Macaca fascicularis: one gene and its partners. The protein of the gene in region 1 purifies or fractionates together with the protein of each later gene. This does not show direct contact. Links are inferred from orthologs where the notes say so. Each region holds a gene or a part of one and is shown in the gene's direction. Other genes may lie near its edges. The genes, in order: POLR3G, POLR2E and POLR3B.

Evidence for each region.
Region 2: the proteins of POLR3G (region 1) and POLR2E purify together in Homo sapiens (affinity purification with mass spectrometry; 3 studies listed by BioGRID and IntAct, counting the BioPlex papers as one, with this or other methods). This does not show direct contact. The link is inferred for Macaca fascicularis from reciprocal best matches to the Homo sapiens genes POLR3G and POLR2E.
Region 3: the proteins of POLR3G (region 1) and POLR3B fractionate together in Homo sapiens (co-fractionation; 4 studies listed by BioGRID and IntAct, with this or other methods). This does not show direct contact. The link is inferred for Macaca fascicularis from reciprocal best matches to the Homo sapiens genes POLR3G and POLR3B.

What each region holds. Positions count from the first base shown.
Region 1 is NC_088380.1:94,474,548-94,481,604, forward strand, and holds the start of POLR3G (DNA-directed RNA polymerase III subunit RPC7), read left to right. Parts: upstream 1-2,782; 5' UTR 2,783-2,910; intron 2,911-3,258; coding exon of another isoform or gene 3,259-3,712; exon of another isoform or gene 3,713-3,808; intron 3,809-3,915; exon of another isoform or gene 3,916-4,439; intron 4,440-4,931; exon of another isoform or gene 4,932-4,981; intron 4,982-6,841; exon of another isoform or gene 6,842-6,914; intron 6,915-7,057. Other genes in the region: acyl-coenzyme A thioesterase MBLAC2, read right to left, coding at 3,259-3,712. UniProt on the Homo sapiens protein: DNA-dependent RNA polymerase catalyzes the transcription of DNA into RNA using the four ribonucleoside triphosphates as substrates.
Region 2 is NC_088393.1:1,664,411-1,671,481, reverse strand, and holds the start of POLR2E (DNA-directed RNA polymerases I, II, and III subunit RPABC1), read left to right. Parts: upstream 1-2,738; 5' UTR 2,739-2,783; coding exon 2,784-2,840; intron 2,841-4,028; coding exon 4,029-4,203; intron 4,204-6,209; coding exon 6,210-6,325; intron 6,326-7,071. UniProt on the Homo sapiens protein: DNA-dependent RNA polymerase catalyzes the transcription of DNA into RNA using the four ribonucleoside triphosphates as substrates.
Region 3 is NC_088385.1:113,276,193-113,283,147, forward strand, and holds the start of POLR3B (DNA-directed RNA polymerase III subunit RPC2), read left to right. Parts: upstream 1-3,149; 5' UTR 3,150-3,224; coding exon 3,225-3,296; intron 3,297-3,452; exon of another isoform or gene 3,453-3,564; intron 3,565-6,955. UniProt on the Homo sapiens protein: Catalytic core component of RNA polymerase III (Pol III), a DNA-dependent RNA polymerase which synthesizes small non-coding RNAs using the four ribonucleoside triphosphates as substrates.

The sequences.
Region 1 (7,057 bases):
TGCATGGGGCCTGGTGACTGAGGCTTCACAGTAGAGAAAGAGGCCAGGATTTCTTAGGTATTCCTCTACATTGGTATCTTCGTCTTTCCTCTAGGAGGCAGATTCCCTAGATAACATTTTTCTAATTTCCTACCTGGGTGGGGAAAGGCCTGGCTCTCATCCTTCTGGGAAACTAGTAGGACGGACACACACACACACAAACACACTCTTTCTTTCTCCTGTTTTCCATACTGAGCCCTTAAGCTCAATAGTAATTTGGCATCCTTCAATCAAGAAACTCCTTTGTTTTACTATCCCTAGAGAATAAACTAATTGGATGGGAGCGGGAGGGGCATTCACTAGAGTTTTAAGAGCTTCTTAAAAGGTTTTCAGGAAATTCTACTTACTCTTCTTCCCTTTGCCGCCACTGAGGTACTGCCTATTGCTAATTCCTGTGTTTTTTAAGGCTTCTGCGGTGGAAACTGAATTGGCTCTTAATTTCCCTTTGCTGGCATAGTATAAAACTGTTAACTTAGTCACCACATCTACTTTCTAGCATCCGAAACAGTTCCCCCAGCCAATGGGGATTTACATTTAAATCACGGTTTCTTTACAGTACATTAATGGTGCTTCGGAAGAGAGCCAAATTAGATGTGTCTGTTCAATTCACCACCTTCCTACAACCTGTTTTAGCCTCTGCAAATGACTTAAGTCCGCCTGAAATCACGCCTCTGAGATATCTTGGTGACACTGGGCATATGGTTTAAACATGTATGTAATAGGGATCACAATGCCAGAACTTTGTATCACTTTAGTGAAAAATGGGCAAAATGATGTTTGCCCACTCAAGAGGTATGTGCTATGTCAATTTAGGGTCTACTGCTATCTTAGAGGAAGATAACCATTTCACTATTAATAAGGCGAGTTGCTTTTTCATCCAGATAATGCACTGGATTATATGGCTATTCTCTCCTTGTCCCTCATTTACAAGTTGGCTTTTGGGTTAGAGATACAGTGCACAGATTTTTGCTTCTCCATGACAAGCAATCATCAATTCATTAAAGGAAATGTAATAAATGATTTCAGCTCCTTGCATTCTACCAAAGCAATGAATACTTTATGCTGTTCATGTGTGTAACTGTATACAAATTTTTAATACAAATATTTTATGTATCCTCCCAGGCATCTGGATTATGTTAACAGCAAGTTAGCAGGCCACATCATTCAGAAGATATGGGAAATTAATATTCTTGAGAAGAGAGGAAAGTAGACACTGCTTGAGAGGGTGGGGCATCCAGCTCCTCATGAAAAACAACTTTTGATAACACAGTACTATCACCTTCAAAGTGTCTGGTAAACATTAAGCTTTCTTTTCACCCTTTTAAAGGCTTAAAGTACCACACAAGTAGTTTGCAGGCCCCTTTCAGCTCCCAAAATGTTAGGATTCTACCATCAACTGGTAAACCTGGGTTCTAGTCCCAGCTCTTTCCGAGATGGGTGATGTGACCTCTTGCATGATACTCAGGCCTACATGGGTTCTTTCTTCATCTATAAAACAATCCCTATCATTCTTTCACCTTTGATTTCCCATTGCTGATACAGAATCAAAAGTCAATTTCAAAAGTAATTTATTCTTTTCAATAATTTAAGTATATTTTAATACTAATGTAAACATTTTTGGTCCGGGTGTCAGAATTTAGTCTGAATACCCATCAACTGCATGGAAATCTTACCCCTAAAAGTACCCATTTTTGTCAAGAAATACAGTAATTAGGTGTGACTTTAATGTAAATTAAAATTTAATGTACATGTACTTTCATCTCATATTGTCAGATAATGTAAGACTCCCATCTAAACCAGTTTTTTTTTTTTTTTTAATTTTAGATTTAAAACTTTAATGAAGACTTTTGTTGGGTGGGGTTGAGGTACAGAATCTTGCAATTTTTTTTTTTTTAGCACCGATAAGTAATACAATATAATACTGCAATTTTTAAAATATCTCAAATGAGTAAGATGTCATCTGTGAGATAAACTGATTTTTGTAAAATATTTCATTATTTGCCATATTGTTTGGTCATAAAGTGAGCTTCACTATACTGCAGCAACTGGCTTTTTCTACTATATAGAGGCATGTTTTAATAAACCAAATTGGTAATTAAAATAGTCTCACACTAAAGGAAAGAAGGGGCCTTTCACATTCTACTCAGAATTATCATCATATATTTATGAGGTAGGATTTATGTACGTTCTGCATGCCTTGATCTATTGTGCCTAGATTCATATCCTAGCTTTTATCATGATCTGTCTCAGGCAAGCCATTTAACTGGGAGGTCAGTGGCCTCACTTTAAATGTGTTGTGAGGATAAAATGAAATCAAAAGTATACTAAAAAGAAAATAGAAAACTAATATACCAAATATTGCTGATGTGGCAAATTAGCTCAATTATTTAAGTCCTTGCGTAGGGAAATGGGCTGAGGCCCTAATCTATTTATTTTCATCCCATGGATTTCTCTCTGAATTCCATATTTGTCTTTCACAGAGCCAAAGAGGACCATGGCTACCTATGCATTAGTCCACATAATTTACCTCTACCGAAAATTACTTCCTTATTGATCTTTCTCAGGCTTTGCTTTCAGCCGGACCAGATACCTGTCATAAAGTTATTCTACGTTTATGATTACTATTAAGCTTTTGCAATCGTGAGTCAACATCAAGAACAGAAACCTATCTGAGAGGTTTCCAATCGCATTAGCGGATTGGAATCGCTGCTCTGATGACTTTCTAAGGCTACAGGTGGGAACTGCCCATACCCGGTGGTGACCAAGCTGATGAAGTCTGCAGTTCTCAAAAGCACAGATCATGACATGCACTCCCCGTGGGGCGTCATTCCTTAAAAGTCTACTCACTACGAAAGCTCCTGGAAATGTCGGGTAGGTGCTTAGGGAAAGAATAAGAAATCCCTAGTCAGTCACAAGTCTCTGTAGTGTTACTACTACAGCCGACTCAGGAAACTGGCTAGGGAGGGGTAGTGCCGGCTTTCAAAGAAGTACTCAGAATTGCTATACGGTGCCAGAGCTGGCCTCTGGCAGGGAAGGCTGTGATGGCTTTGGCTCTGGTCAAGTAGGTTTTTACTTAGGGAAGGGTGTAACAGAAGTGGTTCCGCGAGGTGCCAAAATAATCCCCTTTATGGCCACGCAAGTCTGCAACATGCGGCACTCGGACAGTCTCTTCCCAATACCCTCCCTTAACGAGAGCGCGCGCCCGCGGGGGCCCATTACCATCCTGCAGGATGAGGGTGGGCTGCACCGCCTGTACCCGGAACTGTCTGGCCCTCCAGCCGGGGCTGGGCGCCCGCACCACCTCGCTATCGGAGAGCCAGGTCACGGTCTCAAAGTTGTCCCCGCGAGCCAGCGCCTCGGCCTCGGCGTGGTGCACGGCCACCCGGTCGAACTGGTAGAGGCCGCCGGAGTGGTCGAAGTGCACGTGGGTGGCCACGGCAAGCAGCGGCCGGCGCGCCGCGTCCTCTTTGGCCCCGCGGTCCTGCAAGAGGCCGGAAGAGTACAGGTACTCAGGGAGGCTGCGCAGCCCCAGGCCTGTATCGATCACCACGTCCTGCTCGGAGCCGCGCACCAGCCAGATGTTGGCACGGTTGCCCGACTCGTAGAAGCGTTCTTGAATCCAGAAAATACCATCGCCTAGAGACTTGTGGGCGTACCACTCGAGCGCCGACATGCTGGGCAGGGATGCAGCCAGGCGGGGTGAGTGTGGGCGTGCGAGTCTCCCACAGGCTGTGTAAACACCGGGCGCTGCGGCTGTGTGGAGCCGTCTGCCTGCAGCCAGGGAGGAGGCGTTGAGTGAGGCGGGGGCGGGGGATGCGGGAGTCAGAATAGGAGGAGGAAGGACGCAGACCGACGCTGCCAGTAGCGTGCGCTCTCGTACCCTCCCGCCAGGTCGGCAGCAAGCAGAGACTGCGCCACCAGCACGGGGGCGCAGGAGCTACAGCAGCCTCGGCAGGCGCACCACGAGGGAGCTGTAACGCAGGGACCACTGCAGCAGAATGGAGACTCAGGTGGTGACCCTTTCGCCACCCCGGGCGTGTGACAGCAGAGGCCCGGAGCAAGGGTGGGAAGCGCTAGGACCGCCCACCCACTGGCTCCCCACAGCGCGCACTCCTAGCTGGCGCGGAAAGTGTGGGGCCTAGCAGGTTGTACGGAGCCTACGGAGCCTGCCAAGGGCAAAAAAGCTCTTTGCCGAGGGGGTGGGGCCTGCCTAGGGAGTGGGCGGGGCTAGTTGGTAGGGCTCACGCCGCGGTCCTGGGGCCGCGTGGAGGGCGGTGCGAGTTTCTCCTGAGGTGGAACGAACGGCACTCGAGCGCCGGTGTTCTCTGCCAGCACCCCTTACTTGCCGGCCGGCGCTTCGGCTGCAGAGTTTTGCCCAAGCTTCGAGACTTAGGGAACAGGTAACCGAGGAAGCAATCGAAGACTTGGGAGGGGTGGTGAGGGTAGAGGGGAGTTAAAGGGGCATGTGGAGAAGTTGTGGGGGAAGTCGGGGGTAGAGATTCATTAAAGCGCCTCTGGGTTGAGGGGTGTTTGGAGATAGCTTGGTACCTCCCCTCCTTGTCCTGCTCCCTTCAGAATTTTTTTAAGTCGAATTTCCAGATCTTACCCAGTCTCCACTCCTGGGACTGTTTGCAGTGAGTTAGAAGGGTATTTATGCTCTTACTGATAGTAGGTTATTTTCCAAATCCAGTGACTTTATGATTTGTTGAGGCACTAGTCATTGCCGCAGATTGCAGCTAAGGACCGACTGTTCAGTATCTGTTTTCGTAACTGTTGGCATTTTATATCGTAGGGAAGGAAGTTGTTAATATGGTTTGTCTTTTCTTCTAAAAAATAAAATTCTGTATCCACCCTCTTTTTTTTTTTTTTTTGATTTGGTCTGTCCTTGGAAGAGAGAAACGCGAGTTGGTAGAAAGGCTCAAATAGAGAAAAGGAGCACCTGGTAAGGACGGGAAAAGTGAATAATGACTGGGTGTGGCCCCGCCAGCCTCTTAAATCATCCGCTCTGTTAACATCAGGTCACTGTCTCCACTCCCCACTTCCCAGCTATTGAAGCATCTATTTAGGTTTTTTTTTTGTTTTTTGTTTTTTTGAGACAGAGTCTCTATTGCCCAGGCTGGAGTGCAGTGGCGCAATCTCGTCTCACTGCAACCTCCGCCTCCTGGGTTCAAGCGATTCTCCTGCCTCAGCCTCCCAAGGAGCTGAGATTACAGGCGCCCGCCACCGCACCCGGCTAATTTTGTATTTTTAGTAGAAATGGGGTTTCACTATGTTGACCAGGCTGGTCTTGAACTCCTGACCTCAAGTGATCCGCCTGCCTCGGCCTCCCAAAGTGCTGGGATTACAGGCGTGAGCCACTGTACCCGGCCAGAAACATCTATTTAGGCTTAAGAAATTCCCTTGAGAACTTGACTAACCTCCCAACTTAGCCAGGAAAAATGATAAGGAGACTCATGAGACAGCATTACAAAAGAATTATGAAAACCGTTACTGTGACAACTACTAATAAGCCTTCATGGAAGGAGAGGTATACGCTCTTTTGCTACCCTCCTGAAGTCTTTGGTGGGCATGCAGCTTTTCTAAATACTTTGCTAATCTTGGTAGAGATTATTCGGTTACTCAGTTGGGGGCTATCCTTATGCACAAGTCGCTGAGCTAGATAATTCATGAGAGAATTGTGTAAAAAGGTCATAATCTGGATTCTCAGGAGTTTGAAGGAAGATAATGTCTGTACACAATTACTTGGAAGATAAAGCATTACAGGGTATGTACCACAGAGACAGTAAAAACTAGATTCAATAAGAATACAGATGGAAGGGATTCTTGAGGAGTGGCTTTTGAGCTGGCCTTAAAAGACTACTTTTAGGGCATTCTCAGCAGAGTAATATAGGGCCCTCAGTAGTCTGGGTACTTTTTCTCTAGGCAGAAGTGAGCCACTAGTGGTGAAATGGAGTGATATCTCTACCAGGCCATGAGCTCAGCAATAATTTGCACAATAATCATTGGCCTTTTGCCGGGCTTTGGTTAGTAATGGGGACATAAAAAGGAGAATAAGTTTCCAAGGAGACTTTCACACTTCCAGGTCCCTCTGCCTGCATCCCACATCTCACTGGATATCCTTTTTTAATTCTTTGCATGGCTCTTTGCTTTACTTTTGTCAGGCTTATGCTCAGATATCACTGAATAAGAGAAGACTTCTTCAGCCACCTTTTCCACAATAGCATCCATGTTTCCTGTCTTTATTTTTCTTCTTGTCACTTCCTGACTTTCCTATAAAATATATTTTGTCAGTTTCTTACCTCAGACTCTGAGCTTCATGAGAGGAGAGATTTTGTTTTGCTCACTACTGTATTCCCAATTCATAGAAGACAGCCTGATGATGAGGGTGCTTAATAAATACTTGATTGGATTGAAGAGCCTCCCTGGGAGACAGATAAGAGCTGACAGTTACAACATGATTGTAAAAAGGGCTTAAAAGCAGAGTAGTACTTGGGAAACAGAGAAGGGAGAGGCCTATCTCCATGTAGGGTGGAAGAAATTGTCATGGAGAAAGTGTTATTTGCATGGCATCTGAAAAGAACCTGGGGCTTAGGTGGATGTGGCAGGAAGGGCACTCCAGGCATGCACTGGTTGATTTGGCCACAGCGTGGGGTGCATGTAGTGAGAGGCAGAAAGACTCCAAAGCTCTTTTAAGGAGAGTCACATGTCAAGATTTGTATTCCAGAAAGATACCCTAGACTGCAGAGTGGATTGAAAGGGAGAGTCTGGCCACAGGAAGTTTATTTGTTCTGTTTTAGAGGTCCAGGTGAAAGATGAGAGGGTCTGAACTGAAGCAGAGGTGGAAGAAACGGAACATGGGAGAGAGAACAGAGCTGGTAAACCTCTACTTTTAGATGGGGGATTGGAAGTAGACAGGTCAGGATACCTATCCTGATTGTAGCAATTTAGGGGTCATTCATCAGGAATAATACTGTGACTTAACTTTCACTGCCTCCTCTAGCTTCTGTGTCTGCTTCTA
Region 2 (7,071 bases), on another chromosome or scaffold:
GCTGCAGTGAGCCGAGATTATACCACTGTACTCCAACCTGGGTGACAGAGCGAGACTCGATCTCAAAAAAAAAAACAACTAAAAAAGAAATGGGGTCTTCCTATGTTGCCCAGGCTCGTCTCAAACTCCTGGCCTCAAGGTGAGAAAGAAAAGTTAGGTAGTTAGATAAGAAAGTTTGCACAAACCGGCCGGGCGCGGTGGCTCAAGCCTGTAATCCCAGCACTTTGGGAGGCCGAGATGGGCGGATCACGAGGTCAGGAGATCGAGACCATCCTGGCTAACACGGTGAAACCCTGTTCTACTAAAAATACAAAAAACTAGCCGGGCGAGGTGGCGGGCGCCTGTAGTCCCAGCTACTCAGGAGGCTGAGGCAGGAGAATGGCGTGAACCCAGGGGGCGTAGCTTGTAGTGAGCTGAGATCCGGCCACTGCACTCCAGCCTGGGCGACAGAGCGAGACTCCGTCTCAAAAAAAAAAAAAAAAAACAACAAAAAAAAAACTGGAAAACTACAACAAAGGGATCCTTCCCACTCAGCCTCCCAAAGTGCTGGGATTACAGGTGTGAGCCACTGTGCCCAATGGGATTTTTTTTTTTTTTTTTTTTTTTCTAGATGGAGACTTGCTCTGTCACCCAGGCTGGAGTGCAGTGGTGTGATCTCAGCTCACTGCAACCTCCGCCTCCTGGGTTCAAGCGATTCTCCTGCCTCAGCCTCCTGATTAGCCGGGACTACAGGTGACCACTGCCAAACCTGGCTAATTTTTGTATTTTTAGTAGAGACGAGGTTTCACCATGTTGGCCAAGCTGGTCTCGAACTCCTGACCTCATGATCTGCTCACCTCAGCCACCCAAAGTGCTGGGATTACAGGCATGAGCCACTACATCTAATGGGACTTTTGCTTGAATCTGTCCTCACTGTATTCCGTGACCTCCCCATTTGATACTACAGGTCTCTCCTTCTCCCCATGTCACTTAGCCTCTCTGCTCTTATTCCTTAGCTTTGTCACTTTCTAACGTTGTTATTTATTTATTTATTATTATATATATATTTTTTGAGAAAGAGTTTTGCCCTGTTGCCCAGGTTAGAGTGCAGTGATATGATCTTGGCTTACTGCAGACTCTGCCTGCCCGGGTGCAAGCGATTCTCCTGCCTCAGCCTCCCGAGTAGCTGGGATTACAGGTGCTCACCACCGCACCCAGCTAATTTTTGTAGTTTTTTTTGGGGGGTACGGAGTCTCGCTCTGTCGCCCAGGCTGGAGTGCAGTGGCCAGATCTCAGCTCATTGCAAGCTCCGCCTCCCGGGTTCATGCCATTCTCCTGCCTCAGCCTCCTGAGTAGCTGGGACTACAGGCGCCCGCCACCTCGCCCGGCTAGCTTTTTGTATTTTTTAGTAGAGATGGGGTTTCACTGTGTTAGCCAGGATGGTCTTGATCTCCTGACCTCATGATCCGCCCATCTCGGCCTCCCAAAGTGCTGGGATTACAGGCTTGAGCCACCGCGCCTGGCCAATTTTTGTAGTTTTTAGTAGAGACAGGGTTTCACCATCTTGGCCAGGCTGGTCTCGAACTCCTGACCTCATGATCCACCCACCTTGGCCTCCCAAAGTGCTGGGATTACAGGCATGAGCCACTGCGCCTGTCCTATTTATTTATTTATTTATTTATTTATTTATTTATTTATTGAGACAGAGTCTCACTCTGTGGCCCAGGCTGGAATGCAGTGGCGCGATCTCGGCTCACTGCAACCTCCCCCTTCCAGGTTCACGAGATTCTCCTGCGTCAGCCTCCCGAGTAGCTGAGACTACGGGCACCTGGCCCAGCTAATTTTTTGTATTTTTAGTAGAGATGGGGTTTCACCGTGTTAGCCAGGATGGTCTCGATCTCCTGATCTCGTGATCTGCCCACCTCAGCCTCCCAAAGTGCTCGGATTACAGGCATGAGCCACTGCGCCCAGTAACGTTATTTTACTAAATCCTGTCTCTGAATGCAAGGGATACCTGGCCTGTTTTTATTCACCATCACTGTAGGTTGCTGAGTAAATGCTGAATTAATGAATGCGTCACTGAGTCAGTGACTGATTGCCTTCACACAGCGAGTGCTGGGCTGGGATCCTCCGTGAATCTGGGGAGGTGAGGTTTGCAAAGACAGGACGGATCTGGGGTGGGGAGATACCCAGGCTAGGCTGGCACTCAGGGGAGAGGACAGAGGTGAAGGGACTTAAAAAGCACCTAGAGATATGCCTAGCTCTACCTAAGACTCTCAGTTAACCGCCTAAAGTAGGGACACTTTTTGCCATTGCACAGGTAGGGAAACTGAGGCCCAAGGGCATTAACCCTGACCTGGCCTGGAGCCAACAGAGGAAACCCTGTACAGTTTGATGCACAAATATGTATAGAGTTCCCACTAGGCTCCCCGACCGTCCCTAGGAGCCGAGCTGCCCCTTTACCCATTCCAGGCCTCAGTTTCCCCGCCCACACTTCGCCCCCGCCTTATGGGATTCTAAACTGTCCCCGCAACGTGGGAGTTGAACGGAAACTACAACTCCCAAGAGGCCGTGCAGCCAAAGACACACGAGAACTACGGAGGGAGAGTCTCGCGCAGCAAACTGCCGTTCTCGCAAGGCTCGGGCTGCCCTTGGCGCTGCCGATCCCGGAAGTTGCTGCATTCAGGCGTTCGCCGACGACAGCCCATCGCGGGGCGGGGTTACGTGGAGGGGGCCTGATTGGGAGTCGGCGCAGGCGCAGTCCGCGCGGGTTCTCGCAGGCAAAACGGGTGCGAGTGGCGGCGATGGACGACGAGGAGGAGACGTACCGGCTCTGGAAAATCCGCAAGACCATCATGCAGGTGAGCCGCGCGTGGTGTTGGGGGCGGGGGCGCGAGCAGCAGGTGCAGGGGCCCGAGGGGAGGTCGAGCTCGGCGTCTCCTCGTACTCCCGTCGCAGCAGCAGCAGCGACGGAGGGCCCGGCCGACACGGGAGACCCCGAGGCCGCCGGGGATCCCAGGCGCTGGGCCCGACCTGAGCCGGCAGCGGGGAAGGGAGGGGGTTTCGAGACGTCTGGGTGCGGGGCTTAGCGGTGGGCGGGCGGCTTGGGCTGGTGCGGCGCACATGGCGGCGAGAGGAGGAAGGTGCGAATGGGGACGGGGGGCGCCCCCAGACCCTGCCCCACTCTGTGATTCAGCGTCGCCATTTGTCCTTGCGCCCTGAACCCCAGGGCGTCTCAGCATCCGAGGCTGGCGGAGTTGGTGGTTGGGAAGCAGCAGGCGAGCTGGGGCTTTCGATGGGGACGTGGAGCCCGGAACCCGTGCCTCGGGGTCTGAGACAGATGGAGGCCACTGGGCCGACTCCGGTTTGGAAACTGGGCAAATGTCTGAGGGCCTGCGGTTCAGGGTCCTCCCTCAGCCGTTGGGGCCGTTTGGGAGCTTTTGTTTTGTCTTGCTTCCCCACCCTATGCCCTTGTCTTTAGCGCAGCCCCCCGCAGCCTGATTCTCCTTCCTCCGGGCCGCAAACATTGTCAGCCTGAAGTCACATCTGTTTCGGTCCCTGTCTTTTTTTTTTTTTTTTTTAAGAGACAAGCTCTCACTCTGTCGCCCAGGCTGCAGCGCAGTGGTGCAGTCATAGCTCACTGCATCCTTGAACTCCTGGCCTCAAGCAGCCCTCCTGCCTCGGCCTCCCTGAGCTCTGGGGTCGCGGACGTGACCCCCCACGCCCCGTCTTTGTCCCTGTCTTTAGGGTAGCTCTGCAAAGTGGTTTGGAGGGCTTTGCCCCCTGCCAGGTTCCTGTGAGGCTGGATAGACGGACGGTCTTGGTCAAGGCTGGACACCTCTGCGAGCCTCTCGGGATCACGCTGGTCCCATCCTGTGGTGTGGGGCTGTGGGGGCCAGGATGGCTGTCATGGGGCACACAGCGAGTGTTCATTCCGTTTGCTGTTCACCTCTGTCCTCTGCAGCAGCCGCAGGTCTGACTTCTGGGTCACGAGCTCTGGCCGCCTTCCTGTCTCTGCCCTGGGGTCAGCTGGTTCTTTCTCTCTGCAGCTGTGCCACGACCGTGGCTACCTAGTGACCCAGGACGAGCTTGACCAGACACTGGAGGAGTTCAAAGCCCAATTTGGAGACAAGCCGAGTGAGGGGCGGCCGCGGCGCACTGACCTCACCGTGCTGGTGGCCCACAACGATGACCCCACCGACCAGATGTTTGTGTTCTTTCCAGGTGAGCAGCGGGTCCCCGGGGGAGTTCTGGTGGAGCCGCCCGAGCACCTGCTGAGGAGCCGGCCGCTAGCACCCCCTCCCTCCCGCCTCGTGCCCAGCGTTTGATCCTCTGCCCAATCTGGGAGGAAAACTTCCCCTCCTCTTCCTTGCTGTGGGCGATGCCGTGGACCTCTGACCCCTCTCATGCGCAGCCTCTTTCTGGTTTCCCTCTCATCGGTCCCCTTTCTTCCTGCCAACCAGGAGAGTCCCATGGACCTCCCTACTCACCCGCAGCCCCTCATGACCTTTGCCCTACCTGTGTTCCTTGGCTCCCTCATCCTGGCCGTTGGGTGCACTTCCAACTTCTTGGCCTGGCCCAGGAGGCCCCGTGTGGGTCAGCGCAGCCTCCTTGTGAGCTGTGGCCCCTGTCTGCCCCAGCCCATTCCTCTGCACCCCATGCCGCCTCTGCCCTGTCAGCGTCCGCTACTCATCCCTCGAGGTTGTGCTCAGGCCGCTTTTCCCGGGACCCCTGGGACCCTCGGTTTCAGCACCTGCACCGTGGAAGTCTCCCCACCTGTCTGCCCCCCCAGGATGGCTCTAGCGCCCTCAGTGGTTGGGGGACTACCAGCGCCTAGGGACACAGCCGCGTGCCCAGAATTAATCAGTGGGGTGGACGGAGCGTGTCTGCCAAGCGGGTGATGCTACTGCTTTTTTTTTTTTTGAAAGTCTCATTCTGTCACCCAGGCTGAAGTGCAGTGGTGCCATTTCGGCTCGCTGCAGCCTCCACCTCCTGAGTTCAAAATTCTCCTGCCTCAGCTTCCTGAGTAGCTGAGACTGCAGGCACCCACCACCATACCTGGCTTTTTTTTTTTTTTTTTTGTATTTTTGGTAGAGAGGGGGTTTCACCATGTTGGCCAGGCTGCTTTCAAACTCCTGACTTCAGGTGATCTGCCTGCCTCGGCCTCCCAAAGTGCTGGGATTACAGGCGTGAGCCACCGCGCCCGGTCTTCTTCTTGTTCTTTTTTTTTTGAGGCTGAGTCTCTCTCTCTGTCGCCCAGGCTGGAGTGCAGTGGCGCAATCTCGGCTCACTGCAACCTCCACCTCCTGGGTTGAAGCAATCCTCCCACCTCAGCCTCCCACAAAAAGCTAGGTTTACAGGCATACACCATCTCACCTGGCTACTTTTACTTTTTTTAGTAGTGTTTATTTATTTGTTTATTTGGTTTTTTGAGACGGAGTCTCGCTCTGTCGCCCAGGTTAGAGTGCAATGGCACAATCTTGGCTCACTGCACGCTCCTTCTCCCGGGTTCACACCATTCTCCTGCCTTAGTCTCCAGAGTAGCTGGGACTACAGGTGCCCGCCACCACGCCCAGCTAATTTTTTGTATTTTTAGTAGAAACGGGGTTTCACCGTGTTAGCCAGGATGGTCTCGATCTCCTTACATTGTGATCCGCCTGCCTCAGCCTCCCAAAGTGCTGGGATTGCAGGTGTGAGCCACCGTGCCTGGCCAATTTTTTGTACTGTTAATAGAGATGGGATTTCACGATGTTGGCCAGGCTGGTTTCGAACTCCTGACCTCAAGCAATCCACCTGCCTCAGCCTCCCAAAGTGCTAGGGTTACAGGTGTGAGCCACTGCACCCGGCCTCAGGTGATGCTTCTTAAAGAGAGCATCCTGGGGTGTGAGATGTGCTTGTTGGACAGGTGGGTGCTGAGTCACCCCCCCTCCCCAGGACTGCCCGGGGTGGGAGCCTCTCAGAGTTGAAGGTCTCTGCCTCTCACTGGTCTCTGGGTGACTGAGGGGTGTCAGGCCCCCGTCCTTGTCTCTAGGTGAATGAGGTTTCAGCCCTTTCTTCCCCTGTCCTGGGATCCTGCAACTCAGGTCTCGTTTTGCAAACGTGGAAGCTGAGGTCTGAGCAGGAGAAGCGCCTGTGTGGAATGGGGCTGGAACCCAGGTGCTCTGTGGTCTGGGTGGGCGAAGGCCGGGAGGGCCCAGGGTGGTGCAGGCCAGCACATTTTCTGTCTGCAGAGGAGCCCAAGGTGGGCATCAAGACCATCAAGGTGTACTGCCAGCGCATGCAGGAAGAGAACATCACGCGTGCCCTCATCGTGGTGCAGCAGGGCATGACGCCCTCCGCCAAGCAGGTGGGCACCCCCCACCCCGCCCTTCCAGCCTCTCGCCCTCCCCAGCCTCCTTCCCCGAGCAGCGCCCACAGGCGGCTCACGTGCCTGGGGCCAGGCCCGTCAGGGTGCCCTGGAGGATGTGGCCCGGATGTCTGACAAGCCCTGACCGCCTCCCTCCCACCCCGTCCATGGCCCCACTGCTGAACCCCAGCCCCACCCCAGGCGCTGCCGTCCTCCCCTGGCGCTCGGGAGGGGCGTAAGGGCGGAGGGCGCTGTGCCTCTGTCGCCAGTGCCTGTGTGCCGCAGCCCTCGGCCTGGCGCAGCTTGCGGGAGCCGGAGGTTCCTTGTCCTGAGCCAATGTCCAGGGGGACATGCAGAGGAGGCCCGGCACGGGGCGTGTTCCCCGTCTGTGTATCGGACACTCCTGAGCCAGGCTGCCGTGCTGTGATGGGCAGTCAGCAGAGCGGTTTAGTCCCTGGCCCACCGGCTGCGGGGTTCACGCAGTCACACACAGCGGCACCCCGTATGGGGAAGAGGCCACCCTGCAGCTCTGAGGGCCGCCCCTGGAGGCGTGTGACGGATGGAAACACGTCCGAGTTTCCACGGCCTCATCACTGCTCATGACAGAGGCCCTTGATGAGCGGAGAGGCTGGTGGGGCTGGCAGTGGGGTTTTCTGATTTATGACGTGGGGTGTGTTGGGGCACACGAGTAAGCTCTATGTAGCTTGAGGCAGGAAATGGGAGTTGGGGTTGTCTGGGCCCCTCCG
Region 3 (6,955 bases), on another chromosome or scaffold:
GCTCTCCCTTAAACAAGATCCCCTATTCCTCCATGACAATGGTCAATTTTTCATCTGGCTACCATAAGCCATTATACATTAAGTGATAAGATAGTATTCCAAGATGTTAACCATTTTTCCCTCTGTGATCTGATCTCTCTTTTTTCTTTTTTTTTTTTTTTTTGAGACAGAGTTTAGTTCTTGTTGCCCAGGCTGGAGTGCAATGGCACGATCTCAGCTCACTGCAACCTCTGCCTCCCAGGTTCAAGCAATTCTCCTGCCTCAGCCTCCCGAGTAGCTGGGATTACAGGTGCGTGCCAGCACCTCGGGCTAATTTTTGTAGTTTTAGTAGAGACAGGGTTTCACCATGTTGGCCAGGCTGGTTTCAAACTCCTGACCTCGTGATCCACTGCTTCGGGCTCCCAAAGTGCTGGGATTACAGGCGTGAGCCACTGAGCCCGGCCTTGTGATCTCTTTTCCCTAATTTCTCACCCCTCTATTCAAACCACTGGTCTTTTTGTACTAATACCTCAGGAAAATGACATGGCAGCAGAAAACAAAGAAATCATGAGACTGTTCCTGGCTTCTTGGTTTCAAAACTCCAGTTCCTCAGGGTATCAGGAAGAAGTTATAGATTTGACCTGGGGGAAGGACTGTAAGGGACTGTGGCAGCTATGGTCTAAGGGCCAACACCATTCAGCATTAGCCAATTGTTGCCATATAGGACTTTGGGACCATGGCTACAGGAGCTTCCTGCTTTTGAAGAGAAACTAGAAGCAATCCGGATTCTTAAAAAGTGAGTATAATATCAAACTTCACCCGTTGCAATTTTTTCTTTCAACTCACTTACTCTACACAAATATATTCAGGAACAACTGATGGGTTAGAAGTTGGAAATACAAAGACAAACAAGATAGTTCCTGTACCAAGAGCTCAGTCTGGATAATTAGACACATAAAAAGAGGATATGGCATTGAGTGATAAGTCTTAGGTTAGTGATTTCCAATGCATAATCACTAGAAGGCAGCAGCAGGGAACTTACTAAAAATGCAAATTTGCAGTCCGGGTGTGGTGGCTCATGCCTGTAATCCTAGCACTTTGGGAGGCCAAGGCAGGTGAATCACCTGAGGTCAGGAGTTCAAGACTAGCCTGGCCAACATGGTGAAACCCCGTCTCTACTAAAAATAAAAGTTTAGCTGGGTGTGGTGGCACATGCCTGTAGTCCCAGCTACTAAGGCAGGAGAATCGCTTGAACCTCGGAGGCTGAGGTTGCAGTGAGCCAAGACCACGCTAGCTCATGCCTATAATCCCAGCACTTTGGGACGCCGAGGCAGGCGGATCACCTGAGGTCAGGAGTTTGAGACCAGCCTGGCCAATACAGCAAAACACCGTCTCTAAAAAAAAAAAAAAAAAAAAAAAAAAAAAAAAAAAAAATTTCCTAGGTATGGTGGCACGTGCCTGTAATCCCTGCTACTCGGGAGGCTGAGGCAGGAGAATCGCTTGAATCTGGGAAGGTGCAGTAAGCCAAGGTCATGCCACCGCACTCCAGCCTGGATGACAGAGTAAGACTCCATCTCAAAAAAAAAAAAAGCAAACTTTCAGCCCCAGTTTACCAATCAGAAAGCTGAGAATGGTTTAACAAGCTCTCCAGGTGATTCTAATACACCCTAAAGTTGGAGAACCACCTTGATAATGGAAAGCAAAGAAGACTTTGGCATAGACAACCAACACACTTGAGCCAACCTTGAGATCCTCTGCCATCTATAAATCACTTTCGCAGTCCCTTCCAGGCTAGATGCTAAATCGGTTGCAATCTGGTAATGCACAAGGATGAGACACAAGTTGTATCTTGTCTCCATAATAAGTAAATTGTAAGAACTTCAAAGGCAGGGCTGATTCTACTTTTGGTCTTTTTCCCATTCTTCTCAAATTTCAGATGTCAGTGCAACACGTAGAAAATACAAGTACTGAAATTTAAGTAGCTCTTTAGGAAATAAGAAGAATTAACCTGGTGCAAGGGTTCTACCTTTATGAGGGAGAAATTGGAAAGCATACATGTACTTACAAATTTTCATAGTTTTTCTTATTGTTCTAAAATATACATAAAACGTAGCATTTTAACCCTTTAAAATGATGTACAGGTCAGCAGCATTAAATACGTTCACATTGTTCTGCAACCATCACCTCTATCCATTTACAGAATTTTTGCATCTTCCCAAATCGAAACTCCGTACCCATTAATTAATTGGTGCACTTTGCCTTGTTTTTTCTAATAGGATTTTTCTTTCCATTGATTTGTATGAGCTCATTGTAAACTAGAGAGACCAGCCCTTTGTCTTCTGCCAATTTATTTTTTTATTAATTCTATTCATTGGCGATTTTAAAAATTCTGTTCAGAAAATTAAAAATTTTCCGTGGAATCATAAAATCGTGTTTAGAATTATACTATGAAATCCTTTATGACTTGAGTGTTGCTATCTTGAAAACTTTCATCATCTCAACGTTATGAATATCTGCACTTACATTTTCTTCTAAGTTTTTGTTAACATTTCAATATTTAATCCACAAAGGTTTCACTTACATGTGTTTTCCCCAAATGGGTAATCAGCTCTTCAAACATTATTTACTGGACAGGCCATCCTTCCCCTACTAACGTAAATGTCATCTTTTCATACTAAATTTCTCCATACACTGGTCTTTACTCCTACATCTTCCATCAGTGCTTTTGAGAATTTTGAACACTCTTCCATCACACGCATGTACCATCATTTATTTAATTTATCTCCTATTAGTAGGCATTTGGGACGTTTCCTGCTCTTCCATACTAAACAACGCATATAATTTTGGACTACATTAAACAATTCTCTGCCTCAGTGGTTCAAGTTGGGTAAATTATGCGTTTACACTTTTCTTCGGATTACTTTTAAAATGACAACCACTATGTTTTCCTGGTCTCAATTATCAGAGAATTGGCAAGAAACCTGACAGCTGGGGCTTAGGATTCCCCGCGCCAGACCTCTGAGCTACACCAGGAGGCGCAGTTTCCCTACTCGGCCTCGGCCACATCCGGGTTCCACCGCAGATTCGGGCAGGGAGCAGGCGGAACCTTTCTACCGCGTCTCTAGCTAACACGGCGGGGACAGTTTAGGCCTCCGCGCACCGTTCTCCGGGAGTCTTGCAGTTCGCTTGGTGCAGGGAAGGCGGGCGCGGAGGTTCTATCTGCTTCTTCCTCCTTCGTGAGCAGCATGGACGTGCTAGCGGAGGAGTTTGGGAACCTGACTCCGGAGCAGCTGGCTGCGCCGATCCCGACTGTAGAGGTGAGTGCCAGGCACTCATGGAGCGTCAGGGGCCTGGATGCGCCCTGAGGGGGCGTTGCCGGGAGTGCCGGGCCGCTAAGGGGCGGGCTGGAGGTTTGTGCGCATGCGCCGGGCATCTGCGCATGCTCAGAGCGTCGCGCGTGCCAGTCTTTTTCCAGAGCCGGCATCCGCGTGCGCGAGTGAAGGCTGAGCCCAGAGGAGCTGTCAGCCGCTGCAGGGGTCGAGAAGCCCCGCGGCTGGCTCTCGGGTTGGAGCTCTTCCGGCATAGGTGTGCGTGGGGAGGACTGGCCCTCGCACTTACTGTGGGGGACGTATTGCATGTTTGCAGTCTTACAAAGGACACTGGGGGCCAGGGAGCTCAGGCTGCTTGCATGAAGCACCGCAGCTGGCTGTGGGGGTAAAACCAGATCGTCTGAATTCCAAGCTAGTCATCTTGCCTTTTAACCTGAAGTTCAAGTTTGGGTTGCAGGGGAATTTTAAACGCCCTGAATATTTACTAAAGAATTTGCCTGTGTGTTTTCTCAGGGAGAGAGTCCATAGCTTTCATCAGATTCTCAGAAGTTAAGGACAGCTGTCTCACAGCGAGCTGCCCAATGAAGTATGGCTGTCGACATGTTTTGTTATCTGATAAGGCACATATCATAACCTCTCTGAGCCTCAAAATCTACACTGACGTGGAATAGGGAAGTGGAGACGTGGCCGGAGACGATAGCAAAGGAGAGATTTCAGGGAGAGAGAATAAGATACTTGAAACCTCCTCGGCAAGACCATTGGATGTTTTTGAGGAAGGAAAGTAAATCCAGTAGTATTCGAGTGAAGAAAAATAGAGGAGGAGAGATAAAAGACAGGGTTAAGTAAGGGTCTTGATTATGAAAAGTTTCAATAAACATCTGACAGAGCTTGGACTTTGTCTTGGAGCAGAGCTTTTGAAGGGTTTAAGCAGGAAAGTGATATAATGAGTAAATCTGTCGGATTATAGGAACCTCCTTGGCTAGGCGTGATGACTCACTCCGGTAATACCAGCAGTTTGGGAGGCCAAGGCGAGCGGATCACTTGGGCTCAAGAGTTTGAGACCAGCGTGGGCGACATGGCAAAACGCTATCTCTGCAAAAAATACAAGAATTAGCCGTGTGTGGTGCTGTGCACTTGTTGTCCCGGCAACTCAGGAGGCCGAGGTGGGAGGATCACTTGAGCCTGGAAGGTCGAGGCAGCAGTGAGCTGTGATTGTGCTACTGCACTCCAGCCTGGGTGACTGAATGAGACCTTGTCTTGAGGAAAAGAAAACAAAACCTCTTTATAATAATTTGACAAGTTAAGGAAATTGGATTAGCAGTTCGTCAGATTCAGTCTATGAGTGCATGCAATAGGCTGCTGATCTTCATCAGGTAAAACTGTGTGTGTGTGTGTGTTTTTTTTTTTTTTTGAGGTGGAGTCTCGCTCTGTCACCCAAGCTGGAGTGCTGTGGCGCGATCTCAGCTCACTGCAAGCTCCGCCTCCCAGGTTCACGCCATTCTCCTGCCTCAGCCTCCCGAGTAGCTGGGATTACAGATGCCCGCCATCATCCCCAGCTAATTTTTGTATTTTTAGTAGAGAAGGGGTTTCACTGTGTTAGCCAGGCTGGTCTCGAACTCCTAACCTCGTGATCCGCTACCTCGGCCTCCCAAAGTGCTGGGATTACAGGCGTGAGCCACCGCGCCCCGCTGCAAAACTGTATTTTAACCATGAAAAGTAAATATCAAGGAGCCAGCATTCCCTGAGCACTTGCTAATGTACCAGGCTCTGTTTAACCATAACATGCGTTATGTTATTTAATCCTCTGAAATAAGTGCTATTTTCACCCCCATTTTGCCAGAGAGGCCCAGAGATGTGAAGTAAATAGCCTTGCATTAGAAGGCTGGTAAGTGGCTAATCTGACTCTTGTCAGTCTGACTCTAGTCTTCATCCCTAACTGCTGATCGGATTGCTTCTCCAGAGAGCTGAAAAAATAAGCCTGGGAGAGTTCTATGTATTGTGTGAATTTACACAGCTATGAAGTGATCAGTGCTATAATTCCAGCCTTCTGATTCAAGAATAACAGTTCCTCTTCCTGCTCTCTGGATCCAGTCCACCATCACCTCTAAAAAGTCTTGAGTTCTTAATCTATGCTTATCTGAAACTTCATTCCCACTGTTTTCCAGCCCAGAACCACTCTCCTCTCTTACGTCCTAACTCTCCTACCTGGCACCTGACTTGTCCCAATCCAGTCTGTTCCTTGCTCTGCAGCCAGAGCTGTCCATCTAAACACACAAACATGGTTATGTTGCTCCCTTGGTTAAAATTCTTCAATCTCTGTTGCTTTTAGGGCAAAATCTAGTGTTTACCATGTTTGTAATAAATTTCCTCAGTCTGACCAGTAGTTACTTCTCTAGCGTCTTTTCCCATGATTCTCCCCTCTCCCTCCCTTGAGATCTTTCTACTCTGCTCGTACAATTCCTTCTGGATCACTCTCCCATTCCTATTTGTAGATTAAATCCCACATATCTATGATACAACTTCCCTAGGAAGGCCTTTCCTGAGTCTCCTAGAAGATGGTAGATCTCTACTACTTGCTGCCATTTCCTTTTAAATTGAGATATTAAAATATTTACTTAAACTTTCCAACTTCAGTGTTTTCTCTAAAACTTTTTCTAGATAAGAGCTCAGTTTTACTTGAACTGGCCATGCCTGGTGTGTATTTTTTTGTGCTTATGGTAGTACAGCAGCATGGTAGTATGGTAGAAATAACACAAGCTTTGGAGCCAATTAATCAGTTATTTGTTGAATAAATATTTATCAGTATTACTGAGTACTTACCTGGTGGTGTATTATTCACAGGGTTTATATAAGTTCAAAAAATGTGTCTTCTGCCTCCCAGTGTGTTATAGGCTTATAGAGAGAGACATGTAAGCAGGTGGAATAACATGCAATAGGTACTGTGATACAAGTAGGCGAGGGGTGTATTGGTATTACAAATGTAGCTGGGATGTGATGCCTGAACTGAGTTTGCCAGATGTGGATGAAGTGTGGTGGTGGGGAAGCATTCCAGATAGAAGGAGGAGGCGTGGGCACAAGTACAGCTGCAAGCACAGCGTGTGATGTATGCCTCACTGTGGGCTCGAGACATGGTGAAGAGGGTGGGGAGGCACTGAAGAGGTGTAGAGAATGAGGTGCTCAGCTGTGCACATGAGGACATGCACACTGGCTTTAGTGTGTTAGCATTGAAAGGGATGAGCAGAAAGATTAGAAAGGAAGTATTGCCGCAGTCCAGGTGAAAGATTACGAGGGCCTCAACTGGCACAGGAGCAGAGGATAAATGCGAGGAAGGTTACAAGGAGGTCAACTCAGTAGAATTTTTGTTTTCCTGTCGATTAAGAGAAGTCAGAAAGTTAGGACTACCGGGTATCTAATTTGGGATTGACTAGGATAAATGGTGATATTCACTGAGATTGGGAATGGAGCTGGGGGAAGATTTAATTTTGGATGTACTGAGTTTAAGTAGCCTCTGAGGATGTAAGGTATCACTGCGCAGTCAATAGTTGGAGGCGACAGGCCCATACCCAGTAGCTTACTGCAGCAGTGATATTCACTCACTCATTTATTTATTCATTCAGTATTTATTGGAGTCTTATATGTGCCAGGCA